Linked DNA regions of Lytechinus pictus. The main gene of each other region encodes a partner of the protein of the gene in region 4 in a complex. Links are inferred from orthologs where the notes say so. Each region holds a gene or a part of one and is shown on either strand. Other genes may lie near its edges. The genes, in order: gamma-tubulin complex component 4-like, gamma-tubulin complex component 5-like, gamma-tubulin complex component 3-like and gamma-tubulin complex component 6-like.

Evidence for each region.
Region 1: the proteins of gamma-tubulin complex component 6-like (region 4) and gamma-tubulin complex component 4-like are in contact, whole or in part, in a cryo-EM structure (PDB 7QJE), measured with the Homo sapiens proteins. The link is inferred for Lytechinus pictus from reciprocal best matches to the Homo sapiens genes TUBGCP6 and TUBGCP4. Residues at the interface, in NP_065194.3 of Homo sapiens: Leu312, Thr313, Ala315, Gly316, Arg317, Ala319, Phe320, Phe323, Leu326, His327, Glu349, Pro390, Glu391, Ser392, Ser395, Leu396, Glu399, Tyr403, Ser455, Leu456, Leu457, Thr458, Gly460, Phe461, Lys464, Lys465, Arg468, Arg471, Tyr472, Glu475; in NP_001273343.1 of Homo sapiens: Met1, Ile2, His3, Glu4, Leu6, Leu7, Ser10, Gly11, Tyr12, Pro13, Gly14, Ser15, Ile16, Gln29, Phe31, Pro32, Phe33, Leu34, His35, Pro36, Glu38, Thr56, Ile59, Glu60, Thr63, Val66, Gln67, Gln68, Ile84, Arg87.
Region 2: the proteins of gamma-tubulin complex component 6-like (region 4) and gamma-tubulin complex component 5-like are in contact, whole or in part, in a cryo-EM structure (PDB 7QJE), measured with the Homo sapiens proteins. The link is inferred for Lytechinus pictus from reciprocal best matches to the Homo sapiens genes TUBGCP6 and TUBGCP5. Residues at the interface, in NP_065194.3 of Homo sapiens: Glu290, Ala291, Ser292, Lys293, Arg294, Arg295, Cys296, Trp297, Glu298, Arg299, Val300, Gly301, Cys302, Pro303, Pro304, His306, Arg307, Glu308, Glu309, Pro310, Tyr311, Leu312, Glu314, Lys322, Arg325, Leu326; in NP_443135.3 of Homo sapiens: Asp211, Asp212, Arg213, Trp215, Leu216, His219, Val220, Val221, His222, Trp225, Ser230, Phe232, Pro233, His234, Leu238, His239, Ser240, Asn241, Leu242, Leu264, Val265, Thr266, Glu267, Thr268, Gln269, Arg272, Val302, Thr303, His304, Leu305.
Region 3: the proteins of gamma-tubulin complex component 6-like (region 4) and gamma-tubulin complex component 3-like are in contact, whole or in part, in a cryo-EM structure (PDB 6X0U), measured with the Homo sapiens proteins. The link is inferred for Lytechinus pictus from reciprocal best matches to the Homo sapiens genes TUBGCP6 and TUBGCP3. Residues at the interface, in NP_065194.3 of Homo sapiens: Pro65, Arg67, Asn68, Leu71, Met72, Ser74, Phe75, Asp76, Arg78, Asp87, Glu90, Asp151; in NP_006313.1 of Homo sapiens: Pro9, Asn10, Val11, Leu13, Gln14, Glu25, Ala26, Ala29, Gln30, Phe32, Gln33, Val36, Arg37, Ile39, Gly40, Ser41, Phe43, Thr129.

The regions. Positions count from the first base shown.
Region 1 is NC_087246.1:1,561,880-1,569,889, forward strand, and holds the start of gamma-tubulin complex component 4-like, read right to left. Parts: upstream 3,009-8,010; 5' UTR 2,875-3,008; coding exon 2,797-2,874; intron 1,159-2,796; coding exon 1,017-1,158; intron 122-1,016; coding exon 9-121; intron 1-8. Other genes in the region: replication factor C subunit 2-like, read left to right, coding at 3,294-3,397. UniProt on the Homo sapiens protein: Component of the gamma-tubulin ring complex (gTuRC) which mediates microtubule nucleation.
Region 2 is NC_087245.1:32,376,138-32,384,048, forward strand, and holds the start of gamma-tubulin complex component 5-like, read right to left. Parts: upstream 3,006-7,911; 5' UTR 2,916-3,005; coding exon 2,868-2,915; intron 1-2,867. UniProt on the Homo sapiens protein: Component of the gamma-tubulin ring complex (gTuRC) which mediates microtubule nucleation.
Region 3 is NC_087260.1:8,324,430-8,331,893, forward strand, and holds the start of gamma-tubulin complex component 3-like, read left to right. Parts: upstream 1-4,452; 5' UTR 4,453-4,538; intron 4,539-4,690; exon of another isoform or gene 4,691-4,756; intron 4,757-7,413; 5' UTR 7,414-7,425; coding exon 7,426-7,464. UniProt on the Homo sapiens protein: Component of the gamma-tubulin ring complex (gTuRC) which mediates microtubule nucleation.
Region 4 is NC_087247.1:26,636,041-26,643,010, reverse strand, and holds the start of gamma-tubulin complex component 6-like, read right to left. Parts: upstream 3,005-6,970; 5' UTR 2,940-3,004; coding exon 2,600-2,939; intron 2,144-2,599; coding exon 2,007-2,143; intron 1-2,006. UniProt on the Homo sapiens protein: Component of the gamma-tubulin ring complex (gTuRC) which mediates microtubule nucleation.

The DNA.
Region 1 (8,010 bases), on a different chromosome or scaffold from region 4:
ATACCTACATCCTGTTCCAGGTCTAATAGAGCTTTTCTGTATGGTTCCAGGACCTTGTCTAAACCTGAACAGAATGTCCTGAGATACAATCCATCAGGGAGTCTATCCACTGGCTTAATTTCTGAAAAGAGACAAGAACATTTCACATTAAGTGTGACCAATCTTACTATTTGCTCATATTCATGATTTATTAAAACAAAGGAAACCAAACTTCATGACTGTTTGTGAGAGAATTTATTTTAGTAATTATTTTATATAAGTTGCAGAACAATAATGTTCAGTGTTGATTCGACTGAACAATAGCATATATAGTTCCCAATTTAATGCTAATGAGATGTATTGTAGGAGATTACTTACCTTATTTTTCTAATACACCTAATACTAAACACTGCCAAAAAGGACAACTTGTTAGTTGAAAGAAATCTTTCTATTTAAAGAATTTTCTAAAGGTTTCATTATTAATATTTATGCCCAGCTATTTCTGTTTATCTCGGGTCCCCTTCCCTATCTAATATAATAAAAATTCCCTGAAACAAATCAACTTTCTAACTGAAAGATTGATTTCTGAAAAGATCTATTGTATCTAATAATACTTAATAGGAGCTTTTATGGAATGGAACAAACTCCCTCTCACAATAAGACAATCCACAACAATCGAGTCCTTTAAGAAGTCCCTTAAAACTCTTTTGTTCTAGGCAACTGCCTTCATTTAATATGTCATTCTGCTTTTTTGTTTGTATAAATATGTTAACTGAAATTGTGAGCGCTTTGGGCCATGTGGGAAAAGCGCGTTATAAATATTGAGTATTATTATTATTATTACTATTATTATGAGATTGAATGCACAATCCAATGATTGCTATTTTGTTCTCTATTGCTAACAAGATCAAACTGGGAGGAAGTATAATTTTCTCACAGAGGGGTGTGCCAAGTCTACAAACTGAATTTCAATGTAGGTCAAAGCATAACAGCACCTCAAAATAGAAAAAAAATCCTTCTGTCTTGTATAAGTTTACCTTGATTATGTTTCCCTAAGTAAGGACTGCCACTGTATCTTTTGATGAAGGTCTGGAGATTCTTATAAATAGCCCCTAAACGACAAACTCTGTTGAGTACACTGACTTCACTCACATGGATAAAAGGAAGATCTGGAACAACCTAGAGGCAAAATAAAGAAATATGATAATAAACACAGATACATGCCTTGAGATTCAAGTATGCTTTCCAAAATTTCTTGGGCCTCTGCCTCTGATATATCCTGGATCCACTCCTGGTCAAGATTACAATGTTAGTTTAGATTATACCGTTTGTTTATGAACAAATCACGTACTGCTGGCTTCATTTAAGGTGTGAAGGTTTTTCTAATTTCTTCTTTAATTTATTGTTCCAAAAAAATAATGTTTTCCAAAGATTGCCATAATTGAGGATGAACTGCAAGGTCTTTTTTCAAAGTATTTTATTCTGTTGGTGCCCTTATTTCATCAAATAATAAGAGGATTGTGCAAATGATGAATTTTGACAAAGTTAAAATTTTGCCGATGGGCTGAATTAAAACTGTGAATTTCATTAGCCCCACCATGTATCTCATCTCTATGGTCCAATCCAATCTCATTGAAACCACTGACCAAGCAATTTTTATTCATTTTCTTATTTCAATAAAAAAAAATCAATGATTTTTTACTACTCTCAATGCACAGTTTATTCAGTCTTAATTAAACCAATTTCAGGCAAACATTACTTACTTTATGAATAATAATAAAATACAACATTTATATAATGCTTAATACAATGTTTCTAAGTACTGCAAACTATCACTTACTTGCTCACTTCTTTTCCACATAAAAGGGTGGTGGGTAACGTTATATTATTGCACAGGATTTTAAATAGAGTTTACAATCGGATCAAAAATTGCAATACAATAATCTTAATTTGATTAACTCAAAGAATCATGGAAGAAGAAAAATTGAAGAAGAGGAAGAAGTAGATAGAGAAAGAGGAGAAAGAATAAGAAATAGAAGGAATAGAAGGGGAGGAGCAGGAGGAGGAAGAAGAGAAAAAAAAGAGAAGAGGAGAAGAAGAGGAAAGTGAGAACAAGCAGGAGGGGGGAGCAGGGGAAGAAGAAGACAAAGACTTTTTCAAAGAGGATGAGGAGAAGGAAGAGGAAGACAGAGAGGACACCTGAGGAAGAGGAGGAAGATTAAGAGCAGAGAAGAAAAGAAAGAAGAAGACAGCGGAGAAGTAAGAGAACAGGAAGACGAGGAAGAAGAGGGAGACAAAAAGGATGAGTAGGCTGTAGGAGGAAGATGAAGAGGGACACCTGAGGAAGAGGAGGAAGAGCTAAAGGAAGAGGAAAAAGGAGGAAGACCGAAGACAATGCCAAGCCCAAGGGGAAGAATCACTAGAGGGGAGGAGAAGAAAAACAAAATGAGGAAGTGAAGAAGGAGAAGAACAAGAACAAGAATATTTACCACAAGACAGTTCCAACCTTTCATTTTCAATTTCATTTCGACGTAGGCCTAGGCCTAGATCATCTATCTAAAACAGGAAGCAAAGCACCTAAAAAAATAAAAGTAAAACCTACCAGCACCTTTCACTTGTCACTCATCACATTCACAAGCTGTGCTTTCTTAGTTGCTACCTCTTTTGCTTTGTTCAAGTTCTTAAAATGTATTGATGCTTTATTTATCATTGGAAATAAATGTACTTCATTCATTCATTCGTTCGTTCATTCATTCATTCATTCATTCGAAATTAGCTTAACATCAATTGGAATGAATGGGACTGGAGTCTAATTACCTGTATATCACTGTGCCCATGTTCCATAAAAATACCCCCAGGAAATCCATTCAGAGCCATCAGTAAGTCATGTAACATCTTGGTTGCAATCTAGATGATCGAATCGAAGAGAAAAATCATGGATACAGACTTCTGCAGAGTCGGAATTGAATATTTATCAGGCCCGTTTCACATTAGGTTAATGAATTGTCTGCAGATAGAGTCTATTGCCTACTAGAAGAAGTTGTTCTTTGAATAATTTATATTGATTTATAAAGATGTATGATGATTCTTTGTTCCTTTAAAATAATTTATAGTTGTAGAATTTATTTTATTTTCGTCTTGCAGTTTAATTTTTATTATTTATTTTCATATTTTATTTTAAAGTACCTAATAAAATCTACTTTTTAGTACGAGCCTGTATTTCACAATCGCGCGAAACTTGTGTGGAGCTACTGTTATCTCTTAATATCATAAACGTTTTTATTAGTTAAAAATAAATTAAAGTACATATTAAAATGGATGAAGTAAAATCTAGCACTTCTTTGGATCCTAAATCCAAGTCAGGAGAATCTGGAAAGTCGGGGGGAGCTGGAAAATCGACTTCCTATGAGATGCCTTGGTAAGTGACTTAGCCTTCGCCCTTGGTCCCATTAGCTATAAAATTTGTTGGTAGAAATTCTAGAATTATTTGGGTCCAGGCCCAGGGGCCTGGGGCCTGTTGCATGAAAGGGTCTTTCGTAGAACCATTCTACGTAAGAACGAGATATCGCTCAACTGTTTCACAAAGCCGATTTGGGCGATACGAAGAATGGTCCTTGGAAAGACACCTCCAGACATGTCCTACGTAGGCATGATCTTCTTTGCACACCGCCCGCCACCGTCTGCATTGAGAGAAAATGCGTTTATGGCAAGCCACACTGACATATCACCTTTAAACATTTTTGGCGCCAAGTTATTATATGGGGGACTAGTTGTCATCAATTTTAGGTCGTCTGTTTGCACGGCAAGACGACCAAAAACAGATGTCATTTTAACTTCTCCGGGCATTATGTCCGGGGGTAATGTTGTAGGCCCAAATATTTTTATAAATATTTTTCCTTTTAAGTTTTATTCTCCGTCCTATCCCCACACCATTTCCATTAATTTTTTTTTTGAAATATCGAAATGGGTGGCACTATCTCTCTGACCCTCATGCTTTCTCATTATAGATAATTAAACAACATGAAAACAAATTTCTTTAAAATAAATTATGTAGGCCTAAGGTAAAAACGTGTTTATAACGTTTAGCAAAAAAAACACGATACAAAACTAAAATGTTAAACATGGTAAATCATTCATTTATTTTTATTTCATTTTCATTATAATTATTTTTTTTTGCTGAGATTAATTTTAATCAATAAAAATTAATTGTCGGATTTGGGCTAACTGGAGATGTGAAACAGTGAAACAAAACAAAAAATCTGCAGTAACAAAATAGCTCATTGAATTTAAGATACAGATTAGGCCTATAGCTTACGAATCCATCACAATTATTACAAATGAAGATAAGCTAGTTCATTAAAGAAAAGATTATGGAAAGTCCATACAAAGAGGCGCATTTTAAATCGTAGGGTAGGCCCTTTTCGGCCCCTATGCAATGTTAAAGCAATAATGTAGTCTCTATACTCCTCAACTTTGAAATGTTGAACATATATATTTTTTATATTCTTAAACCTTATATTCTTATATAAGCTTCCATAAATTAAGTGATCGACTTTAAAGATGACCAACGTTTATGATCATTGTAATATTTAGCATTATTTCTGTAAATAGTATTTTTTCCATTGCGGATTGCACACCGTTTTCTATGTTTTAATTGTTATTGCAAAGCACTACTTTATCCACTTGGACATGTTTGCATATTTTCCTTGTCTTCTGTTACTCATCATGCAACTGGTATGTTTATACCCTAAACACTCATATTTGTATTTCTTGCGTTATATCTGACAAATAAAATAAATAAATTAGATTTTTCACAGGCAGCCTCTCATATTTTCCATTTTAGTCTCATACAATCAGACACTGTTGATTTTGTTTACTCCATTCAAACCCTATTTTTACCTCAACAGATAACTTATTCACGCATAATTTGCAAAATCATCATTATATATATGTATTCAATAAAAAATCAGTATATTGAACTAATAAAATGTCGAAATTACTTAGTTAAATCAATTTTTATGTCGGACAAGGGTCTGTTTCGTTTAAATATCAATGAAAGGTGTCTCTAAAAGGACACTGTGTTCTAAATAAAGAAAATAATGAAAATTTCGATTTTATCCAGTTATGTTTGTGAATCTTGAAAGTTTTTTCTGTTTTTGCCTCATAAAGTACGCTCCATACATCAATTCTACAATCGGTAATAAATAAAACATTATTTGATCCCCTTTTATTGAAATATATGATTTTATGAAAAGCCGTCATTCCAAAATAAAAGGTTCAGGTGACGATGAAGACTAAATATTTTTCCGATACTATCGATATCAAACGATGTCACGGACTTGAAAGACAAAATAATTGCATTCGTGAAACGGAAAGCGCTGATTTGTCGCCAATCTTCCTATCTCGGAAGAATGGTCCTAGGACGTTCCTACGTATCGCTCATCTCGTCATGCAACATGCCCCTGTTTCACGAAGGCAATTTTGTCTTTCAAGTCCGCGACATCGTTTGATATCGATAGTATCGGAAAAATATTTAGTCTTCATCGTCACCTGAACCTTTTATTTCGGATTGATGACTTTTCATAAAATCATATATTTCAATAAAAGGGGATCAAATAATGTTTTATTTATTACTGATTGTAGAATTGATGTATGGAGCGTACTTTATGAGGTAAAAAGAGAAAAAACTTTCAAGATTCACAAACATAACTGGATAAAATCGAAATTTTCATTATTTCACTTATTTAGAACACGGTGTCCTTTTAGAGACACCTTTCATTGATATTTCTACGAAAGAGACCCTTGTCCGACATAAAAATTGATTTAACTAAGTAATTTCGACATTTTATTAGTTCAATATACTGATTTATTATAGAAAACATATATATAATGATGATTTTGCAAATTATGCGTTAATATGTTATCTGTTGAGGTAAAAATAGGGTTTGAATGGAGTAAACAAAATCAACAGTGTCTGATTGTATGAGACTAAAAAGGAAAATATGAGAGGCTGCATGTGAAAAATCTAATTTATTTATTTTATTTGTCAGATATAACGCAAGAAATACAAATGTGAGTGTTTAGAGTATAAACATACCTCAGTTGCATGATGAGTAACCGAAGACAAGGAAAATATGAAAATTGCTGCAAACATGTCCAAGTGGATAAAGTAGTGCTTTGCAATAACAATTAAAACATAGAAAAATGTGTGCAATCCGCAATGGAAAAAATACTATTTACAGAAATAATGCTAATATTACAATGATCATAAACGTTGGTAATCTTTAAAGTTGATCACTTAATTTATGGAAGCTTATATAAGAATAAGGTTTAAGAATATAAAAAATATATATGTTCAACATTTCAAAGTTGAGGAGTAGAGAATACATTATTGCTTTAACATTTTAGTAGGGGCCTAAAGGGGCCTACCCTAAAGTGAAAATGCGCCTCTTTGTATGGACTCATTTCCATAATCTTTTCTTTAATGAACTAGCTTATCTTCATTTGTAATGATTGTGATGGATTCGTAAGCTATAGGCCTAATCTGTATCTTAAATTCAATTAGGTATTTTGTTACTGCAGATTTTTTGTTTTGTTTCACTGTTTCAGTACATCTCAAGTTAAGCCCAAATCCGACAATTAATTTTCATTGATTAAAATTAATCTCAGCAAAAAAAAATGATCATAATGAAAATGAAATAAAAATAAATGAATGATTTACCATGTTAAACATTTTAGTTTTGTATCGTTTTTTTTTTTGCTGAACGTTATAAACACGTTTTTTTACCTTACATAATTTCTTTTAAAGAAATTTGTTTTCCTGTTGTTTAATTATCTGTAATGAGAAAGCATGAGGGGTCAGAGAGATAGTGCCGCCCATTTCGATATTTCAACAAAAAAAATAATGGAAATGGTGTGGGGATAGGACGGACCATAAAAGAAAACATATTAATTAAAAAAAAATATTGGGGCCTACATTACCCCCGGACATATAAAGCCTGGAGAAGTTAAAATGACATCTGTTTTTGGTCGTCTTGCCGTGCAAAAAGACGACCTGCAATTGATGACAACTAGCCCCCATATAAAAAATAACTTGGCGCCATCCCAGATAAAATGCATCAGTGTGCAACCCAAAAAATGTTTAAAGGTGATATGTCAGTGTGGCTTGCCGTAAACGCATTTTCTCTCAATGCCGACGGTGGCAGGCGGTGTGCAAAGAAGATCATGCCTACGTAGGACATGTCTGGAGGTGTCTTTCCAAGGACCATTCTTCGTATCGCCCAAATTGGCTTTGTGAAACAGTTGAGCGATATCTCGTTCTTACGTAGAATGGTTCTACGAAAGACCATTTCATGCAACAGGCCCCAGGGCACTCTAGGCGACACCCCTATTCAAACTCAAAGCAGTGTTAAAAAAGGCGGCGACTCCAAACGAGTACGTTTTGGCCTTGAATTTCCAGCCCATTCCTCTAAATTACGGCCTAAATTTAGGTCTAACTTATTTATTATATGTTATTGTTAATTTACCATGTTTACTAATTTTAATTATATTTATAATGTAAAATGGGTACTCACCGTTTTTTTCCAAATTTTGTGTTTTCATCCCCTCTTCTGGCCAACTCTTGCGACAGCTGTTGTCACCATAGGATCCTGTACATGCAAATCCAGGGCGAGTTGTCACATGACGCTCACGAGTCTCTAGGCTTTTTGGCCTTTATTCAAGGCGTTCTTTTTGTTAAATTTTATAATGACGCTTATAATATCGAAATCAATGTAGACGAGTCTGTGCAGGGGCATAACACTTAAACGGGTGTATATGAGGGGGCACAGCACATGTCACGTGTGGAAAATAAAAGTTATGTAATGTAAGTCCCGAGTGAGCAAAGCGAGCAAGAAAAAGAGTTATCATGATAATCTAACTTTGAGATAGATTTTGACAATGATCTTACATTTTTTTGTTTCCTCCGAGTACATTTTTGCGCCATGGTCCAAACCCTTGTTACCCCCGCGCTACATGTATGTTGGTAGCCCT
Region 2 (7,911 bases), on a different chromosome or scaffold from region 4:
GTTGTTTATTTTTGTTTGTTGTAATTTTTTCACTCTTATGAGAAAATACATGAAAACTCAGAGGAAAGGATATTTCATTTCCAGATGGGTCTAACTCCTGTATTTATGTTTTCTTTATTATTAATTGTACTATTTATTTTTTTATTCACTTTTCTTTTTTTAGGGGTGCAGGTGGGGGTTGTGTTTTGAATTGGAAAATGGGGATGGGATTGGTACAAGTTTTTGTGTCACTTTTGTTTCTCTTGTTTTTAGTGCTTGTTTGGAGCTTTGATGTCTGTTTTGTTGTTTAAAGCTTTGTTATATATTTTTACTGGTTGCTTTTTGTTTTGTTTTGAAAGAAATAGACCACTCTTTTCCTTTTCTTTTGGCTTCGACTAATAATTTGAATTTATTTTTCTTTAAAAAGAGAGCTCAAACAGGGCCTTTGTAATACAATGTATGTATACAAATCTAAGAAATTGACAACTGATAGAATATATTAAAACTTCATTTTCGTCCTTCTTGATACTTGAAATAAATTGCATACAATTCTACATACATATTTTACACTCAGCTGCTCATTCCTTCTAAAAAAATGTAATCACATGTCCATTGTCTCTCAAATCAAAAGCTACATATTATAACAAATTGTTGAAACAATAGAATACATAAGGAATTGGTGAAACAATCAAATACATCAGAAAAAAACACACATATTTTTATTTGGTCATACAAAGTACAAAATAAATTTTTTATATGTAAAAAAGGACCCCTGTACATACAAAATTACAATACTAAGTTGAAAAAGAGCTTGTAATTTATATCAGAAAAACAAAGAAATACATTAGAAATTACAAAAACAATACTTTAGACAAATTTATTAGGAAATTATCTACATGATGCTGTTTTGATGCCAACTAAATTATATGAATTATCTATCATAATCACCTTCATTTGGCAAAATAAAGAGGCGAGTAATTGTGATTTTCTGTTTGCATAATTAATTAGAATTAATTAGAAGAAATTATTTTAAACAGAATAAGAAAGATTACAAGATGAATTGATGCACATCAATTGAGCCTTCTCTCACCTTTCCATTGATACCTAAATTACTTCATAGGGTTAAAAAACAAAGAAGTTAGAGCCTGTTGAAGACTTGGGTTCAAAATGGTCACAAAATGGTCACAAAAATCGGTTCTGTACTCCATTGACTTTACATACAGACAATGACCACAAATTTGGATCAATATGTGCGACTTAAACTGGAATAACTTTATAATTTCTTGATGAAAATTAAAGTTCTTGGTATCATTTTAAAGGTCTTTTTAAGAGCTTTCAAGTGATACCAAATTTATTCATATTTGATGATTTTCATTTTTTTTGTCACATACCTACTCCTAGTACCAATGAGGTCCAAACATTACATGTATGGACCTCATAGGCGACAATGCGTTAAAAACAGGTTAGAAGTAGAACCGTTACTGTTTCCTGCACCCAAGTATGATATTACTCCCTAAATACAATTTTTTTTCTCGTTTGTTTATCATTTATTAAAAGATTGCCCATTAAATATCATATTATTTCTACTTAAGATTTAATAAAATAAAGGGAAACTTACATTTGAGTCCTTTTTCGATCTTTTCTTGGCAGTCAGTGCGGTCACCGTCGAGTGCGATCAAAGCGGTATGAAGCTGATTTTCAGATCACGTGATACGTGTAGTCATCTTCTTCTTCTTCTTTCCTTGGTTGGCAACCAGTCAGGATTGACTATTTTTGCCACAGCTTTTGTTCATTTTCAGTAGCTTATTATAATTTTTTTTCCTTCTCTCTTTTAATATTTTTTTTCTTTTTCCTTCATTTTCTTTTCTGTTATTTTCTTCTTTTTTTTCCTTCTTTTTCCTGTTCATGTTTTTTTTTTTTCTTTTCTTTTTTGTCTTCTCTTTTCTTTTTCTCTTTTCTTTTCTTTTCTTTTTTTTCTATTTTTTTCTTTTTCTTTTCTTCTTATTTTTCTTCTTTTGTCTCTTTTTTGTATTCTTTTTCTTTTTTTCTTTTCTTTTCTTTTCTCTTTTTTCTTTTTATTTCTTTTTCTTTTCTTTTCTTTTCTCTTTTTTCTTTTTATTTCTTTTTCTTTCCCTTCCTTTTCTTTCTTTATTTATCATCACCTGATCTATTGACTATCCTTTTTTAAAGACCGCAACAATTATAAATTTTATTATAAAATATATATAGAATAAATAATTGCATGATATTATATATATCTCTACAATTAAAAATATTTTGTGATATAAATTTAATATTTGACGTAAAAATCGCTATTTAACAAAATATTTATTAAAAAGTAAAAAATAAAACAAAATAAAAACGCCTTGGACACAGTGCAAAAAACCTAACGATTTGGCCGCGTTGTTAACAACTATCGTAAGGGGCGCTCTATTTATAAATAAAAAAGAATGTAGGCCTACAGCTGTCTACCGCGACGTGGTTTGTCGCAAGATTTGGGACAAATCCTTGGGAATTCTTGAGAAAATACATCAAAAGAACTGGTGAGTACCGATTAAACATTATCAAAGTAGTAAATAGGTTATACATAACTTGTAGATATATATTTTAAATTGATATTGATGCTTAGTTCCAAGCTAGGGCGGCCCAAATGTGCGTGAGTGGAGTCCCAGTTTATTAACACGGGTAAGTATTGGGGTGTCGCCTAGAGTGGTACTAGGAGGTTGCTCCAGCCGGCACCGGGCGGTGGGGAAGACAGCCGTCTAACGTTAGCGGTGCAGCCAAGCCAGGCCCGGCCCCAGGCCAAGGGGAACACAAACCATGCAAAGCTCAGCTTTATTGGACATCATACAACGTTCGACATAAATATGTGACAGAAAGACCGGTACCTGAAATTGTGTCAGTTTCTTCACTAGTTTCCTTGTTTCCTGCTCCATGATTATAACAAGCTCAACAACTTCAAGTTCAGCTCAAATTTGATGCAGGCGCCATTTCCGAGCGTGTAGTGACGTCATTCTTCGATCTGTGGGGGAATTCCCTGACTGTCTTCGGTTTGGATACAGGGGAACTTGGGAAGTGAAGAATTTCAACTTCATGCCCGCTTATAGAACTATTCACTTTACTTCAATCAAGGAGATTTAAGACCTCTATGCTTCAATTCAATTCAATTTACTTTAAAGTTACCAGTCTATGAAATATATATGGAAATTTGTCCTTCACTGGCTTTTAGATTAAAAAAGAAGAAGAAATTTCCACGCGTTGACATTATATTTTTTGGCGGCCAATCTTCACCTGTCCATTTGCTCTGGGGTTAAACTTCCCCTTCAAAGAAAACTTACGCTCTTATATAGACACGACATATGATGAGGCTAATTGCATAACGCAGAATCACCAAACAACCGAAAAAATGAGAGAAAAAAAGGAAAAATAGAAAAGATTAAAAAAAGAGAAGTGATAGAAAGAAGTGGAATCGGGGAAGAGAAAGGAAAAGAAAAAGCCGGGAAGGAAATGCAAAGATAAAGAGGAGTAAACTTAGTGGAGGGGGCGCAACCGCGTAGCCAGGATTTCATTTTGGAGGGGGCGGTAAATGCACGCGAAGCGGGCCAACACTTACAGAGCGCGCGAAGCGCGCTCCCTAGGGGGTGCTTTCGGTGTTTCTTAAATTAAAATGAAAAGGAGCCGTCTCTCCTGTCTCTAGTACCTATATCAGCTCCAATTCAGTTGACTATATTTTGATTTTGAACCTTGTTTTTAAAAGTGATTGTGAATGCACAAAAAGGGATAAAATGGAGGAAATTAAAATAATATTTACCCCGCACGAAGCGCGAAAGCTAAAGCGTTTTATCAATTTTTTTCTAAAGAAAAGGGTCCCGAGATAAGGGTATTCCCTATATAATACTGAATGCTTCCCTTGGAAAGATCAGATTTGATTACAAACAATTTAGCGGCAGTGCAGATCTTTAACTCGCAAAACAAGAAGGGTATTTTCCGGGCCAGGAAGATATTTCTCCCCGTGCAGAGCAATGAAACTCTGAAATTTCAAAGTGCGGACCTTTCATCAAATGCATATATCTCTACCCCATCGGCTCTCATTCAATTAATTTTCTAAGATTATTGAACTTCATTACAAGGAAAATAGTGCGCAAAAAGTTGAAACTTCTGTGATTTATTGAAATTATATAAAAAAGGATGATGTATAATTTCTTTGATTTATCCTGAAGCGCTTAATTTTGAATGATAAAGAAACTTAAGTGTCATTCAAAATTTCAAACTGAGGGCGCAAAACAGGACAGGAAATGAATGTGCAGGGAAATTTTAATAGAATTTGATTTAAAAAATATTGTACTTTTTTATTTAATATGACACGAATTTTGTACCTTCCTCTTTTGAAATTAGGAACCTGTTTGCCCCCAAATTATGGTTGTTTAGTAATGTGCTGAAAAGCGGGAGAAGTGGCCTATATGGAGGTGACGGCAGAAATTGATATAAAGATTTTACCCGCCCGAAGTCGACCCGACCAGAAGTTGCGCGATCAATTTGAAAAAAAAAGATAACTTAAATATACTTCGGCCTAACCTTACTCTTATTCCATGCCCTAATGTATACATTTAACTTTAACTGGCAAGAAACACATAGCTGAGGTCGAAAAACAGGGTTAGAGAAAAGGTTAGGGAAACAAAGGAGAACTGCAATATTGTCATTTAACCGCGCGCAGCGCGGAAGCAAAATTCATATATATAAATTTTAAAATAGAGCACTGAAGAGTTTCTCTTTTGAGAAAAAAATAAAGAATAAAAAGAAAAACACACAAAGCTACCTTTCTTCCCTTCGCTTTTCCTTTTCTCCTTTCTTTTTTCTCTTTTTTTTTTCTTTTTTGGGACTTTTTTTTTGGGGGGGCGACCGCCCCCACCGCCCACTGGCTACGCGCCTGAGGGGCGGGGGAGATCAAAAAAGGGAGAAATTGGGAAAAGAAGAAGAAACAGGAGAGAGAAAGACACTCCAAATAAAAGAAAATGAAAGAGAAGAAAAGCTGATAAATGAAAAATAAAAGATAACTAAAGAAAGATGTGACAGAGATTAATTTATAGGATGAATAGAAGAAATAAAATAGCTTGTGAGGAGAGAAAGTAGAAAAGGAGAAGGAAGATCATAAGAAGTGGAGAAAATGGAGAGGAAATGGCTAGTATTCCGAGTAACCTATATATCTAGTGTCATTAAAACAAAAGTATATAAACTCCTCAAAAAAAGTTTGGAAATCTGACTTTGATCGATAATCCCTCCTCAGTTTTAGTAAATATCAATGTGTAATTAATATCAATGAATAGACCATTCAATTTTCTTTAAAATGATACCCTACATGATATGATTATGGTTCACATGCAACCTTGAAATGTGGGGCAAGGTCAAAATTCAAAAGTTGCAAAATGACACACTAAAGTCACTGTTCTTTTTTCCGTGGTGATGAGTGAGTTTCTCAGCGGTTTCTTTTAACTGTTTTCATGTACCTTATCATCAACATTAACATGGAATCAAACACACCTCTGCACAAGCAAACACATAACAAACAAACAAACAAACATGCATGGGTATTTCAAACCACGACTCAAACCATGTTATCTCACAGAACCATCACTACATACACCACAACAAAACATAAAAAATGAAGAAGCAGGGGCTTGATTTGAATGGATTTTCATTTCTAGACACAAACAAGAATTTCTGCTCGTTTTGCAGCTTTTCAATTCAGACCTCATCCAACACTTTTGAATCCTGCTCTTTTCATGATGGCATGATCATTACAAGCATGTTATCATTTTCAAGCGAATTAAATGATCTTTTAAATGATATCAAATATGCATTGTGTAAAATTGGGAGTTGGGAGAAACTAAGATTTCCAAACTTTTTTTTGCTCGTTTTGCAGCTTTTCAATTCAGACCTCATCCAACACTTTTGAATCCTGCTCTTTTTGTGATGGCATGATCATAACAAGCATGGTATCATTTTAAAGAAAATCAAATGATCTTTTGAATGATGTCAAATATGCATTTTGAAAAATTGGGAGTTTGGAGAAATTAATGGCCAAACTCAGATTTCCAAACTTTTTTTGAGGGGTTTAGTGTATGGCTTGATCGCAACCCGGGTCGCAACCTACCCTCACTCTCTCGTCAAGATGGAATTGACGTCACTTTTATGATTATAACCGTCCTGAATGGGCGGTGGGGCAGAGGATTATCCTTTAATTGTTCTATGGGGGGGGGGGGGTGGGGACATCTACTGTTGCGTCCCCGGCACAAACACATAAGATATTCCTCTGCTTCGCCGCCCATCATGCTCCCTCCGTTTTTATTTTCATAGTCTTCTCTATTTCATATTTACGTGACATCCTTGGCCAACTCAATTCAAGTTAATTTTATTGCTCATCACCGACACGTGTTTTGCTCGCTTTTAATCCTACTTTGGCACATGCATACACAAACATAGGAATTCTCCATGGGCCTATACTGTACAAAGAATAAAAAAATGTATTTTTGAAGTATATAAAATAAAATGAAAGATAAATCAAAATATATCTAAAGATCCACAGCACATTTTCAAGCTTCATTTTTCCAAACGGTGCCTAATATTCTGATTTTGTTATATCTTTAATCTCATGCGTTGTAAAGTTATTTATTTCAACTGTTCCCTATTAATTCTGGCTCGATTATTTTAATCAAATATATGTTCCTCCTGGTTATGTTAAACATAAATTAGTTCCTTTTTTGTGCAACCTACCTGTTTTATACTATTATGTTATTCCATTTTGTAACTCTATTGTATGTAATGATCTTTGTTCACCCAATCCGGTGTGGAAGGGAAGGCCTGTGGGCCATGGCCATTAAGTTGACCTATTCCCTACCCAGGCTACCTGGTTGGTTGAGAAAAGGTCTAAAAAATATTTGTATTTTTGTACTGCATTGTACACGCTGTCTTGTTTTTGGTTAAGTGCCGAATAAAATAATAATAATATTTTGACATGGGAGCCAAGTCATAGGTGCGTACTAGTATCCTGGGTGGCATTAAAAATAAAGGTGATATATAGTTCTAGGCCTATACCCTATACGGCCTCCATGTTTTTTTATTTCCTGTATCTTTTATTCTTTCCTCTATCTTTATTCTCTCCATTTATGTCTTGTTCACCACCATGATACCGGTGTAAAAATGGCAGAGGTAAAAATGGCAAAGGTAAAAATGGCAGAGGTAAAAATGGCAAAGGTAAAAATGATAACACTTGAGTTGGTATTTCTTATTTTTTCCTGGACTTACATGCACGACCTTCTCATGTCAAATCACTCTCACAGAACGGAGACCGTTGAAAGACCACTGAAAGACTTAAAATTTGTGATGTCTAAAGGCCCCCATTCCACAGAACGGAGACCGTTGAAAGACCACTGAAAGACTTACAATTGATGAGGTCTTACAGCGGTCTTCAAGATCACTGAAATTTGTCATCTCTGTGAAATGGCTCAGAAAGACCCCTCAAAGAACTCTGAAAGACTGATGGATATTTCTTGTCTTACTGGTCTTAGACAAGTCCTATAGAGATCTTTCAATGGTCTTTCAGAGATCTTTTATGCAACAAGTGATCTTTCAGAATTCTTTCCATGGACTTTGCCTGGTCTTTCAATGGTCTTTCAATAATCTCTCATGAGTCTTACAGTGATCTCCGCAAAAATCTTGAGAGACTGCCGAAAGATCATTGAAAGACTATGAAGACCTTTGAAAGTTCATCGAAAGACTGCTGAAAGACCGCTGAAAGACCACTGACAGACCATTTTCTTGTAATACCGTTGTAAGACTGTTTTGAACCGTTTCAAAAATTTTTGGAGCCCATGAAGACCACGAAGACCGCTGAAAGATTGGTCAGGACTCGTGTAAGACCTCAAAGACCATTGT
Region 3 (7,464 bases), on a different chromosome or scaffold from region 4:
CAGTGACATCCCTACTTTGTTGGACACCTTCTAGTCCAGGATAGGCCCCATAGAAAATTGACGAAACCTTGTTTTTTTATATATACAATATTTTTTGATAGTTTCTTGTCAATTCGAGGGTGCTGATTACGAATCTGGATGATGCCACTCGCGTAACCTTGAGCATTTTCCGCAAATTGGCAAAATCCAATATGGCCGCCAAAATATGCAAATTACCCATGAATATCGTAAAATTGTCCGCACATTGGCTGTGAAATGCATGAAATTGTGTGGCAGGAGTGAAATACTCTCTGAAAAAAAAATTTTTGACAAAATATTTATGTTTCTGATATTCAAAATGGGCGCCATAGGCCATTGTATACACTAGCTATTATGTAAAATATGAAAAGGGAAAACTAATAATTTCACAAAAATGAGCACTAGACTGCAAAAATCGCGATGTATGAACGAATTAATATATGCAAATCATCATTACTAACGAAAGATTCCAAGATCAAGCAGCAGGGTCACGACCGGCAGGAGCAACCGGGCCTCAACCAGGAGCAGCAAGAAGCTTTCGAGAGATCGCCACAGTGACATCCCTACTTTGTTGGACACCTTCTAGTCCAGGATAGGCCCCATAGAAAATTGACCAAACCTTGTTTTTTTTATATATACAATATTTTTTGAAGGTTTCTTGTCAATTCGAGGGTGCTGATTACGAATCTGGATGATGCCACTCGTGTAACCTTGAGCATTATCCGCAAATTGGCAAAATCCAATATGGCCGCCAAAATATGCAAATGATGTGTCTCCATTATGATGAAATTATTATGTTGCGGCAATAAATAACTAATGCATTTAATCAGTTGTCAATCCAATTGTTTTAGTTCTTGGTAGAAATTTTTTGAATAAACCTACTTTCATATAATAAAATACAAAAGAACAAGTGGGGATGTGACATCATCAGCCCGCCTAATGAATATTCATAAAGACATGCCTAGACCTGGTTCACTGGAATAATGCAAATCTGTAAAATTCAATAACTTTGTTATTTGTTATCCGATTTTGATGAAATTTTCAGCATTTTGCTTTGTGAATTTTACTCTATTTATTGAGATATGAATATCGCCAGCCTGGATCATCCCTTTAACTCTCTTTTCATGTAATGACAATCCCCTAACCGTCTTTAGAACCCCCCCTCTTCCCCGCTCCCCCTCGATCTCTTTCACAATATCTGTGATTCCCCTTTTTACCCTGCTCTCTCGTTTCTTCTTTTGTCCACTCCCTAAGTTCTCACCCCCTTTCACAATTCCTTCCCCCTTCTCTCCCCCTCTCTTGCTCTCAATATGATTCCCCTTTTCTCCGTTCACTCTCTTTTCCTCTATATGAGCATAAACTCCCCCCACTCTCAATCTCTCTCTCTCTCTCTCTCTGAGAACTATACCTGTCATTTCTTTCCCTCGCCTAACTTGTTTTCCTTCTTTGATTCTCATTGTCTTTTCTCTGGCCCATGCACCTCCCACCCCGCCCCTTTTTCTGTGATTTCTTTCTTCTACCTAATAGGCCCCTACATATGTTTCCTCTTTTGCCCACTCACTAACCATGTAGGCCTACCAATGGGGGGGGGGGGGGGTAATCCCCCTCACACACACCCACATGCACCTCCACACCAGACCGTACGCAGGATTTCTTAAGGGGGGGGGTTCAAGGTGATTGAAATGTTAACAACCTAAAAAAAAAGGTTTTCCAATTTAGGTCGTTTCCAACCACCCAAAAATTCGACAAGCAAAAAAAAAGGTTTTCATATTTTTTTAAGGGGGTTTGAATTCTTAGGGGCTTGGGAGGGGGGTTGGGTATCAAAAATATTAAAGAGGTGTTTGAACCCCTGCACCCCCTGCGTACGCCACTAGGCCTACGATATGGAATCATCCACCCGCATCAACCCCCACCCCCCCCCCCCGGTTTTATAGACGCGCTGTTTACACCACTAGCTGTTTAAAGAATAATCATGTTGGACTTATTCGATGTCGAAAGTATATCAATAAAATTATCATGATCATCACGTATAAAATAGGGAAATGGCCTATTATTGTATAGGCCTTTCACCAAGTTGTACAACTTGACAGATTTGAATTCACGAATGAACTAGTGAAAAAAACATTTGGTCGGTAGTATCTGATTTTTAAAAAAGAAGAAAATGTCACGTCTAAACATATATGAAACATCTTGATACCTCAGTCACCAGGAAATTGTCAAGAAATGAATCATGTAAAATAATGCTTGAATTCCAATATAAGTGTAAAATATAGATCATCAACCCTATCTGGATCGACCAATTCCGGGGACCGGGATAGTCCTGTCCCCCTGTCTCATCACCCGAACACTTGTTTTCTTCTTGATCGAGTTCCATTGCTTTGTGGTAAAAAAAAATGAGTTAAAAGCTCAAAATTAAAAGCTCCATGTAACTTAGGCCTATTTGGGTAGATAGATATATCCGGGATAAATATATGCTTTTTAGCATCCCAATTCACCCGTCTCTCTCCGATCTTAATCAGTCCTTTTTTTCTGTCATCTCTAGCTATAACTGTCTTTCCTCTCCCACTTTCCCGTCTCTTTTTCTCTCATTTTTCATTTTATTTTGTTTTATTTTATCCATCTATTCATATTCACATACGAACCATATGTTTTTTAAAAAAGCACAACATCCTATCCGATACTCAATTTGGTTTCCGGGAAAAGAGTAGCACTTCCCACGCAATACTTTCTTTAGTTCAAACAGTTGCCAAAGCTTATGACAAGTCTTCGAATACGATTGGTTTGTTTTTAGATTTTTCAAAAGCATTCGATACAGTTGATCATAACATTCTCCTTTATAAACTTTCTCATTATGGAATAAGATGAGAACCACTAAAGTGGTTCAAGAATTATCTAACCGGGCGTTCACAGTTCGTTTCACTCGATTGTAATATTTCTGAACGTAAACCTGTCCTTTGTGGAGTTCCACAGGGCAGCATTCTTGGCCCACTTTTGTTCATTACTTATATAAATGATATTGATATGTCATCTAGATTGCTTCAATTTATACTTTTCGCTTATGACTCTAATATATTTCTGTCGCACCCCGACCCAGAGCAATTGACGCAAATATTCAATGACGAACTAAAAAATGTGTCTAATTTGATAACAGCTAACAAACTCTCTCTTAACCTAGAAAAAACTAGCTACATGCTATTTAGCAACAAGATTACGAATGTACCAAAAGATGTAATTTTAAATGATATTGTCATTCATAGAGTGCGATCTACTAAATTTTTGGGACTGATCATAGACGAAAAACTTTCTTGGAAAGCACATATTGATAATATTTGTAAAATCATTGCTCGCAACATCGGTGTCATTAGAAAATTAAGTTACTTCTTACCCCATTTTATTTTGTTATCATTGTATTCAACGTTAATTTTACCTTATTTGAATCACGGAGTTGTTGCGTGGGGTAATGCAGCGAATTCTCAAATTAATAGACTTTTTATTTTACAAAAAAGAGTGATTCGTATTATTAGTCATGCAGAATTCAGGGCACATACAAATATTCTGTTTTTGAGAAATAAAGTCTTGAAGGTTGAAGATTTATATTCTTTTCAACTCGGACAGTTAATGTTCAAGTTTATCAATAAACAATTACCGTTACCTTTTAATAATATGTTTGTAAAAAATAATACAATTCATAAGCATTTCACTCGCCAGGCGAGTTCCTTTCATTTACCTCTGAATAGAACATCGTTTGCACAGAAGACATTTGTTTTTACTGGTCCAAAATTATGGAATTCTTTTTCAAAGGATATTATACAATGTAATTCAATACACAATTTCAAAGGAAAACTTAAAATATATCTTCTGAATTCATATTAGATTATCGTTTTTTCCCAAAGTAATGTAATTCAGAACTTAATATGTAAATGTGTTTATTAATTTCTCTTTGTATATATGTTTAATCGTTTTATGATTTCTGTATACAGTGTATACTGAATCATTTATTTTTATTATTATGTATTTATTTTTATTTTTATTTGTTTATTTTTTAAGATCATTTTATATATATATATATATATATATATATATATATATTGTTTATTTCTTTATTTTATCTTATTTTTTATTCATAAAATTTACTTATAAAAGGGGGCCTTCACCCTACAAGCTCTGCTTTTTAGTTGGTCTCCTTCCCTTTCGATTTCATGGTATTATTGAATTATAAAAAATGATTTAAATGTTATATTTTGTAAATATGTTTATTGAACTATTATTGTAAATGTAAAAAGATTGAAAGAGAAAATAAATGAATTGAATTGAATTGAATTGAATATTTTGAAGGAGGAGGGGGGGGGGGGGCTCGAGGAAAGCCGCCCCATGCCTGCCATGGATGTGTTCACGCGCAGTGCGCACAATTCAATGAGATCGAAGCTAAAAAGCGGTCTGAAAAACTGGCGCCGAGGCGTAGATTTCAACGAGAAGTTTGTACTTGTTAATTGTATCTGATTCTGAAAATAACTTGTAATGTAAGTGTAGCTTTTTTATACCTTTTTTTTTGTTTAGACAGACACTCATATTGATCTGAATTGATTTCATTATTTTTACCTCCTTACCAAGGCAATATCATGATTTCTTCAGGCTTTAGAAAATATAATTATAAAGTTAGATCGACGAGGATCCGATCGCAGAGATTGTACATGACCCACGCATTCACTTTCGTGTCTGTGGCGACATTCAATAGAAGGTAAAAATTAAAATAGGGTTATAAACTGATAAACTTGTTTTACGTTAGATAAGATAAGATTTTATTAATCGGGAGTATGATATGCTATCCACACTGCACTTTTTCCCCTTAACCCCAGGAAATTGGTGGGGCTAAGGGGTGTCTTCTTAGCCCCACCAATTTTCCGGGGTTAAGCTAACTCTAAGTCTAGACTCTAAGGTAGACCAAAAGCTTCAGTCTCTGTTATGTTGGTTGTTCAGCTGAACTCCGTTGGCTTCACTCACCAAATACAGAGACCGAAGTTCTAGCGCGATCTGTACAGGGGACTCAATGGCCATATGTTTATGTACTTAAGATCGGATAAAACGGGGAAGTGAATTTGCGCGACAGCCGAGGTAAGTCACTGTTTTTGTTCCTTTTAACTTGATTTTTCTCCGTTTTGGGGCAATTAATGCCAAGAGGGAATATTAATTTGCATTTTGGTCGCGTTAATTTTCAAAATTTTTTATTCATTAAAGACAAAAATTGAAGAGCCCCGACGGGGGGATTTCGCATTGCAAGTCCCCTAATGGTGGCTGCACGCTAGCGAGCCGTCTGTGTACGAGGAGAATTAAAAAAAAAAAAAATGTTAAAAAACTCCTCGAAACAGACGGCTGGCAGCTGTCTAACTCTAAGGCAGCTTAGCCCACTTCGTTTTCCTTTTAGCAAAGTGGGCTAGCACGGTAAATAGTACGGTACTATCTGGCCCTGCAAAATAGCAGGGTTAGCCGGCTTATTGTGGTGCTAGCACCACAATTGCGGTGCTAAGTAAGAGATGCAGTGTGAAACGAAACAGGGCTAAGGAAACTCTAGACCAAAAGCTTCAGTCTCTGTTATGTTGGTCGTTCAGCTGAACTCCGTTGGCTTCACTCACCAAATACAGAGACCGAAGTTCTAGCGCGATCTGTACAGGGGACTCACTGGCCATATGTTTATGTACTTAAGAGCGGATAAAACGGGGAAGTGAATTTGCGCGACAGCCGAGGTATAAGTCACTGTTTTTGTTCCTTTTAACTTGATTTTTCTCTGTTTTTTGGCAATTAATGCCAAGAGGGAATATTAATTTGCATTTTGGTCGCGTTAATTTTCAAAAATTTTATTCATCAAAGACAAAAATTGAAGAGCCCCGACGGGGGGATTTTGCATTGCAAGTCCCCTAATGGTGGCTGCACGCTAGCGAGCCGTCTGTGTACGAGGAGAAATAAAAAAAATAAAAAAATGTTTAAAAACTCCTCGAAACAGACGGCTGCCAGCTGTCTAAGGAAACTCAAGCACAATACATTAATTTGAAAATCTATAGCATCCCAATCATTGACAAAGCATTCCACGGGGGTTTGATCCCGGGGGGGGGGGGGGGGGGGGGCACTCGACCAAAAAAGTGGTAGGGGTGTGCTGCGGGCGAGGCAAAAAACGGGGGCCTTGGAGCGGGCTTATTGTAAAAAGGAGGGTCCTCGGAACGGGCTTCGGAACTACAAATGTTTGTGAAAACGGGGGTCCTCGGAACGGATCTCTGTAAGTGCGTATGCATCCCTATGGAACGGGCAATCGTGCATGACGCAGCTAGCGCGGCCTCCGCCGGGTGCGCTCGCGCTTAGGCGATGGTCGAAACGCGCTCTACGGCCGCTTTTCACCAAAATTGTAGCAGATCAATGCGACCGGAACGGCGTAACGAAAAATATGCGAAGCTTTGGAGCGGATTTCTTTCTTCTTTTTTCTCGATAAGAAGGAAATGCTATGCCTTGGAGCGGCTTTCTTTGTTCTTTTTCTCAATAAGACAAAAATGCTATTCCTTGGAACGGAAATTTCAGTGTAAAAATGGGGGTCCCCTCCGCGGCACATACCCACTCTGCATTATATACTGAGTGCCCCCCCCCCCGGGGGTTTGATATTCCATGTGGCGTGCCGATGTTAACCCTTTGGATCCGACTGGCTTCTGCCGAAGCGAAATATCAATATTTACTATTTTTGTCTCTAGAAGCATTGTTTTGGCTCAATATTTTTTGAAAATTTCAAATTAGTTATGGACAGCAAAAGGGAAGCTCTTGTGATGTTTTCATGTCAACATAATATGATAGAATCGTGAAAAAGAGACATATACAATTTTATAACTACTTACAAAATGGACAAATTGCAGCACTTTCCGACAATTTGCGCTCTTTTAGAGCTCACTCATTTTAAAAGGTGTATGATTATGAACACATTTTGTATACCAGTAATTATATAATTTATTTGTCGGCTCTGAGATAATTAACTTTTGATATTACTCGAATTATGGTTATTTCTGTTTGCTGATACCCGTTATACTGTACTAATGCATTATTAAAACTGAACCAGCCAAGTTAAAATCCAAATCTCTCTTGTTGCTACGAGAAACTGTCGCCAAATGAAAATGTCTGTTTTGTTGAAACAGCTGAAAAGGCATTGTTGAAACACATGTTTAAAAACAATGGACTCGTCGCCGGCTCGTCAGATGGGGTTAAAGCAGGCTGGAACTTAGCGGATAGATTCCTATCCTTCATAACACATTCCTGATTTAATCCAAGACAAGACAAAACAAGATGACTAGACTCAAACCATTGCTTTTACCGTGTAGCATCATATGTTTGACTTCCTGATTCTCTTTGATTATCTGTCGGTAGGTGATGTAGATAATGGCAAGCTTCACCATGTCTAACCCCGGAGCATCTGAT
Region 4 (6,970 bases):
ATGTGTGGAATCATTGCATTGTATCTTCTGTGCAGGGCTTCACATGAAAGTGAGCTTGATGTGGAAGTATACCCGAGTTTTTAGGAACATTTCAATGAAAAAACTTTTTCTTTTTCTTAATTCCTTTCTTTGATCTGAACATTTTTATCATTACTTGTCGGTAACTGACAATATACACATTAACATTTACCAGTGCTACATGATTTTCAAAGACATAATTTTCTTGGTACTTATATGTAAGGCTTTTTAAAATCATAAAAGTTTCATAATACTTCACATTTTTAATTATCCAAAGATAAGAAATGTATGTTTTACTTACTCGGGGGGGGGGGGGGGGGGGTGGGGTCATAGCAGCTACATGTTTTTCTATAGTAATTTAATATTGCATTGACTGTACACATGGATTTTTCTGATTATACACCCATAATATATTCATCAGTTTTATATTGACTTTTTAAACCTTTTCCTTCTCCAACCTCCCCCTCCCCTCAAAAAGGCAAAATGAATAAGGGTCTCCTCCCCTAGGCTACATGTACCCCTCCCCCGAATCTCATGCAGCCATGTAGTTTTATTGATTTCTATTCTGGTCAGTGCAAGCAATGCTTGTTCATATCTGTCGGATTTCAATTCTCTTCATAATTTGTTTAATCATTTTCTTTGCTAATTTCTTTTATAAACTGTCAACAAAAAATAAACTCCAGCTTCTAAACTGAAACTGAACTATTTGTAAATTGGAAAAAAAAAACAGTTTTAGTAGATCCATGCAACATTGATCAGAACTGTCAAATTTCACTTTTCATCTATACTTGTAAACCAAAAACAAAATTGTATCACACATCCACACTACTAACAGGTATAAAAAATCCAGGAATGTACTTTTAGCGAGGCAATGCTCAAAAGAATCCTAGAAACTAAAAAAGGGACCCTGGAAATCCCCTTCATCAAAATGTTAAGCTTAAAAAATGTTGCAGATTTAGGCAATAGATTGGAAAAAGTACCCCCTACCCCCCCCCCCCCCCCGAAAACCAAACAAAAAATTGTCTGATACAAACAATTAGGTACTTGGTAAGTACATGTACAAAACAATTTCATAGTAATTTTTTTTGCACAATGGGAATGCAACTTCCTTCATAATTTCATATAGTATTCCTTGTGAACTATACCTTTTAAAAGTAAATAGCAAGCTCCTTCTGGTGTGACTTTTAAAGTGAAAGACTTAAATAACAAGTATACAATATTTCTTCACCATAAAATTTACCACATATTTGCATTTCAATATTGGTAACCAACGTTTTATCATGGTAACTGACATTACATCTCGGTAACTGACATTACATTTTCCACTTGGTAACTGACATTACATATATTTAATGGTACCCTATGGCTTCATTGTTGATTGGTAATCTTTAATTTTGGTGTAGAAGGGAGGGGTGTTACCTAGAGAGGAAATCTACCAAGTTTCATATAATATATCCTCTTTTCCAGGAAATGAGAAAAAAAAGTTCATGTTTTCGGTAACTGACATTACATACCATATCACATACTTCATCAATGTTTTTTTATCAGATGAATGAATTACTGGTGTTTCTTTCTGAGGGATTTTAAAAAGTGTTATAATAGCAAGCTAAATCACAGGCGAAAACATCATGATCAAACCTGTTCTTTAAAAATCTGTCAAAACAAAATATGTATCAATATACTATTTTCAACACTAATTTGTATCCATACTTTGGCAGCCATTTTGAAATAAAAAATGGCTGCCAGAGTCGGAAAAAAATTTTGTCTCAGAAACTTCAGGTCTTGTTTTATTAAAAAACATAAAGCATTTGACATGAATATCAACTTGATTTTTTTGCCTCTGTGTCCATCTGTGGTGAAAATGCCCCTATAGCAAACCATGTATTAAAATTTACAATAAATTGTATCTCTTTATGTTCCCCTCCTTGAGGACTTATCAAAACAAGACTTGAGCTTTACATGTATGTATAAAGCAGGGCTTCACGTACCTCTTTGGAAGTCAAACCAACAGTAGGAAGATTTGGTTTCTGGTGACCAATTACAGCCTTGTGAGAGGACTGCTTGGTTCCTGATAGTGCCAGAAGAAATTTAATAACTCCCTCCAGGAATACACTGTCTTCTTCTGCTAATGAAAAAGAACACACAGCAACAAAATTTGTGAAAATAATTAAGCTTTAGGTGAAATATAACGTATGACATGGATCACATTCGCAAATGCTTTAGAATATCTCAGGATTCATGTGAAAATTGATATGATAGATTTTATTTAATATTGTCTATTCTTGAGTGATTAAAATGTGAAAAATCTATGGCAATTTGTATACAAAACAGTGTGCAGTAATTGTCAATATAATGGCAAGGAGAGCGCATATGATCAACCAGAAACCTTCCAACGGCTCATCTCATGAGTGGTGATTCTGCAGAGCTCTGAAATCCTGGTGGGACAGTCATACCAACAAAGCTGACAGATGGTATGTCACTGGAAATAATATGATATCTTTGGTCGGTCTGGAGTTGGTTCCCCAGGTGTGACTGAAGCATAACTTATGCTACAAGGATGCAAGAGTTGGATGTTGCTTACCGCTCAACTTTGAGAGGCGATCCAAAATCAACTCCATTTGCTGTGCTTCGTCGAATCTCCTCTCCACACGAAGCTTGAAAATGATGATGACAAGTTGCTCCTTGGGGGAGTAAATCCCAGCTGCATTGCTTCTGGCTGAACAGCTGTGTTGCAGGGGTCCAGGGAGACTTCCAAAGAGGGAATCGAACAGTCTGGTCTGCAATCTCTGGCGAAACCTGGCGATATCCTCGGCATCTTCTCCCAGGCGGATTGGACGAGAGGATCCCAACGTGTCACTAACAGCTCTCCGAACAAGATCCTTAAAGAGTTGCTGGGGGGATGTGGGGTCAAGGGTCACCATTTTCTTGCAGGGTATTTAAGTTTATTTACAAGTCAATCAAGCGAAGGACAAGAAGACCTGTATTTTTAAGTACAATGAAAAAAAATGTGATAGCTTATTAATTGTGTAGCAAGAAAGTTAAATTCATCAAGAACAATAACATAGTCTCAATGGTCACAAGACACAAGTTCTTCATTCTTTACAATTTCTTCCCGAAATGCCCTATCTACCATCCATGTCAATCTGCCCTTCAGAGCATTCTTGTCCCCTTTTGAATCCCATGGTTCTTAAATAGCATATGGCTATTTGCGGTAAGTCTATAATTAGTAACCATAACGTTGATACATGTATACTTAAAGGAGAATGAAACCCTTGAAACCAGCTGAATCCATATTAAAGAGAAAAATCAAAGAAACATATTGTTGAGGAAGATTGAATGAATAATAAGAAAGTTATGAGCATTTGAATATTGAGATCACTAATGTAATGTAGATCCTCCGATTGGCAATGCGGCCACGATCTGTGATGTCACACACGTACAACTCCCTCTTTACTTTAGTACTTATTTCACTTATATTCTCACTTTTATAGAGTCTATCACAAGGTGAGGTGTTCTCTTTATGAGAGGACAAGTACAGAGGTTTCACAACATTATATCATTGATGAATCGTTTGTCATATAATTAGAATGAGCAAAAAGAGATGTTTTGGGGTATATTTTCAGTGTCCAAAAGGGGAGAGTTGTTCATCTGTGACATCATAGATCTTGGTCGCATTGCCAATGGGAGGATCTCCATAGCATTAGTGATCTCGACATTCAAATGCTCATAACTCTTCTATTGCTAGTCCTATTTTACTCAAACTTTTGTTGATCTTATTCTTTGATTTTTCTGCTTTCACAAAAGCTAACTTGCTCCGAGAGTTTCATTCTCCTTTAAATTACAAATTGAATGCTATTATTCCCGACATTATGCAAAGTAACACGATTAAAAGGCATGAGAGGGCTATATTTATATATTGACTGGTCTTTAGGGAGACTAGGGAGGACATATATCCCTAGTCATATTGCCAAAGGCAATGAGCAGGAATTATATGTGGTAACTCCCAATAGTAATGCCAGTCAATATCATTATAATTATTATTAATTATTACTTGTTTCCCAGCATATAGCACTTTATGTATATCGTCTATACAATTAAAGCAAAGTTAATGCATGCTGCAGTCAATAAAATGTTGAGTACTTGTGGAGACTAGCAAGTAATGCATGTAATTGTTAGCGCAAATGTCAATTTATGCACGCTTGAATTTGACCATAATACATCCAAAATAATACAAGTATGAAAGTACGAACTTTTATCTTGTCTCAAACATGGCTCATTCAGGTAATAATATAGCTAATATGCCCAGTAATCCTAAAATCAGCAAGAATCCTAAATAAAAAATAGAGTGAATCCTGAATAAAAAATAGAGTGAAGCACAGGTACAGAATGGCTAAAGAGCGGAAGTATAGAACCATATACACTCAAATGTTGACATCAATAGCCCCGCTCTAGTGGTAAAAGCGTCAGGTCAAAGCTCTATGCTGCACTGATGTACAACTTGCATGGGTTTGAATCCTGCTCAAGATCCTTCTCTAGTTAGCTTTGCTTTTAGAATAATTTTTTTTTTCAGTAAATGCATTGATAGGCCAACCAATGAATAGCATATTTCTTTTTAAATCAATACTGACTTTCAACAATGACAAACAAGAAACTTAGCTTCATGGTTTTATTTAGTCAAATATGGAATTACATATTTTTTTATTAATACATGTACCAAGCATTTCCCTGCTCTTCAAGACCACTCTCCACTCTCAAGGCCACTTTCACACAGTTTAAAAATATATATATCGATCACATTCACTAAATAAATCTCACTATACATAATAACCTGTCTTCAATCAAAGACATTTTAAGTGCGATTTATTTCGTCAGAATTAATGACACTGAATAAATATAACCTGCTCGCCAAAATGGGAACCAGTAAGTCTATGGAAAATTTTCCATAGAGTTGTACACACTCGTTCCCATATTTTTGATCGCCATGGAATTTTGAGATCGCGATACCAGCAAAACCCTTGTCCTTGACCTAGACCTCTACTTTATTATAATTCCGTCAAGCAAATTTGACTTAGGGATCTTGCCTTTGGTCTGGTATTCATGATTTTGATTAATTTTGTGTGAACTGTGAGAAGTTTTTGATTAAAATCAACTTCATGATAATTTTTTTAATGTGCGCAAATTATGGTCACCCAATCATACAACTGAGATGCAATGCACCCATGGGTGCCCCAGGCCAAAGCCAGGCCAGGACCAGGCACTGTTGTGTCCCCATGATGGTAAATTACCAATTCGTCTACTGCCAACTCGTCCAGGGTGACCAGACGTCCAGTATTTCCTGGGGATCGTCCCATAGTTTGCTCCTTTGTCCCGGCTCCCGAAAAAACCCTTCCCGGAATGCCTATTTGTCCCGATATTTCAGAATTTTGAACAAAATATAATTAAAACATTTGAAAGTGACGAATTTTTCATCAAATAACCAACAGATGACGAAGCAGAGATAACAATAAAATCGATAACTATAAACTTTTGCAAGTTCTGCTGTGATTTTCTTGCTAACCCAATACATTATTAACGAACTGGCCTCCCTACTCTGTGTGGCAGGCTACTAGCTAGGCATGTAGGATCGGAGCAGATTCTCAATGATGCAAACAATCTCACATGATAAACAGTTTTTCCACCAAAATAATCATATAAATATATTATGGATTCTCAGATTACTGATTTGGTGATGAACCGGAGGAACAAGTTATAGAGTTTTCATAACTAGATCTAGTTGTTTCATCTTTCCTTTTGAGTCAAGTTTAACAAAATAACAAAGTTATTGAATAATTTTGAATTTTAAAATTTATCAATATTTTGTGAAAACAGTCGTCATAAATATTCATTAGGTGGGCTGATGATGTCACATCCTCACTTGTTCTTTTGTATTCTATTATATGAAATTAGGTTTATTCAAATTTTTTCCTCCAAGAACTAGAAAAATTGGATTGACAACTGATTTAGTGCATTAGATATTTATTGCTGCAACTTATTTCATTATAAGGGAGAGATATTTATTATTATTCACACAAGTATGAAATAATGAAAAAATTTTGATTTTGTGTAATAACATAAGAAAACGGAAAGTGGAGATGTGACATCATCAGCCCACCTAATGAATATTCATGACGACTGTTATCACAAAATATTGCTAAACTTTAAACTTCAATAACTTCATTATTTGGTATTCGATTTTGATGAAATTTTCGGTATTTTGCTCAGTGAATTCTACTCTATGAGTCACTCACACTAGTACGAGGTTAGTATATATATATATATATATACTAACCTCGTACACCGGACCGTGTTTGACCCTGGATTTCGAAGTAGTCGGCAAACATCGCTTCATTGCTGAAGTAATATTTGCCGAAACTCCTTCTCGCTACTCAGGGCTCTTTCCGGTAAGTAGCAATACATTAAAAAATTAAAAATGTAATTTGAATATAATAATCGGTCAAAAAGAGCAAATTTCGCTTACCTCGGCCTGGAAAGTGACTTCGCTTGTCTCTTCTACGGAAATACAAGGAAGCCCGTTGGTGGCGCTAATAAATTTCACAACCTTGATTCAGCTCCTCGGTAATTTTATAACTGTGTCTAAATTCTTTGAATGCGCAATTCTCATGATTAATTTACTAATTATGGGCACCAATAAATGAAATACCTTCAAAAACATAATTCAAGATTATTATTGGCGATGATAACACTTTTTTGCAATTAATTTAAAACGATGACTAATAAATAAAAATTGAAAAAAATATACGTGCCTGGAACGGAACCAGCAGTACAGGCTTTAACGAACGTCAATAATACGGTATACCAATGTCTATACAATAAAAAGATTGGACACTTGACGGACTTTGCGTAATGCCTTGCGTCGATTTGCGTGTAAAATAGTGTAGGTGCCTAGTCTTTC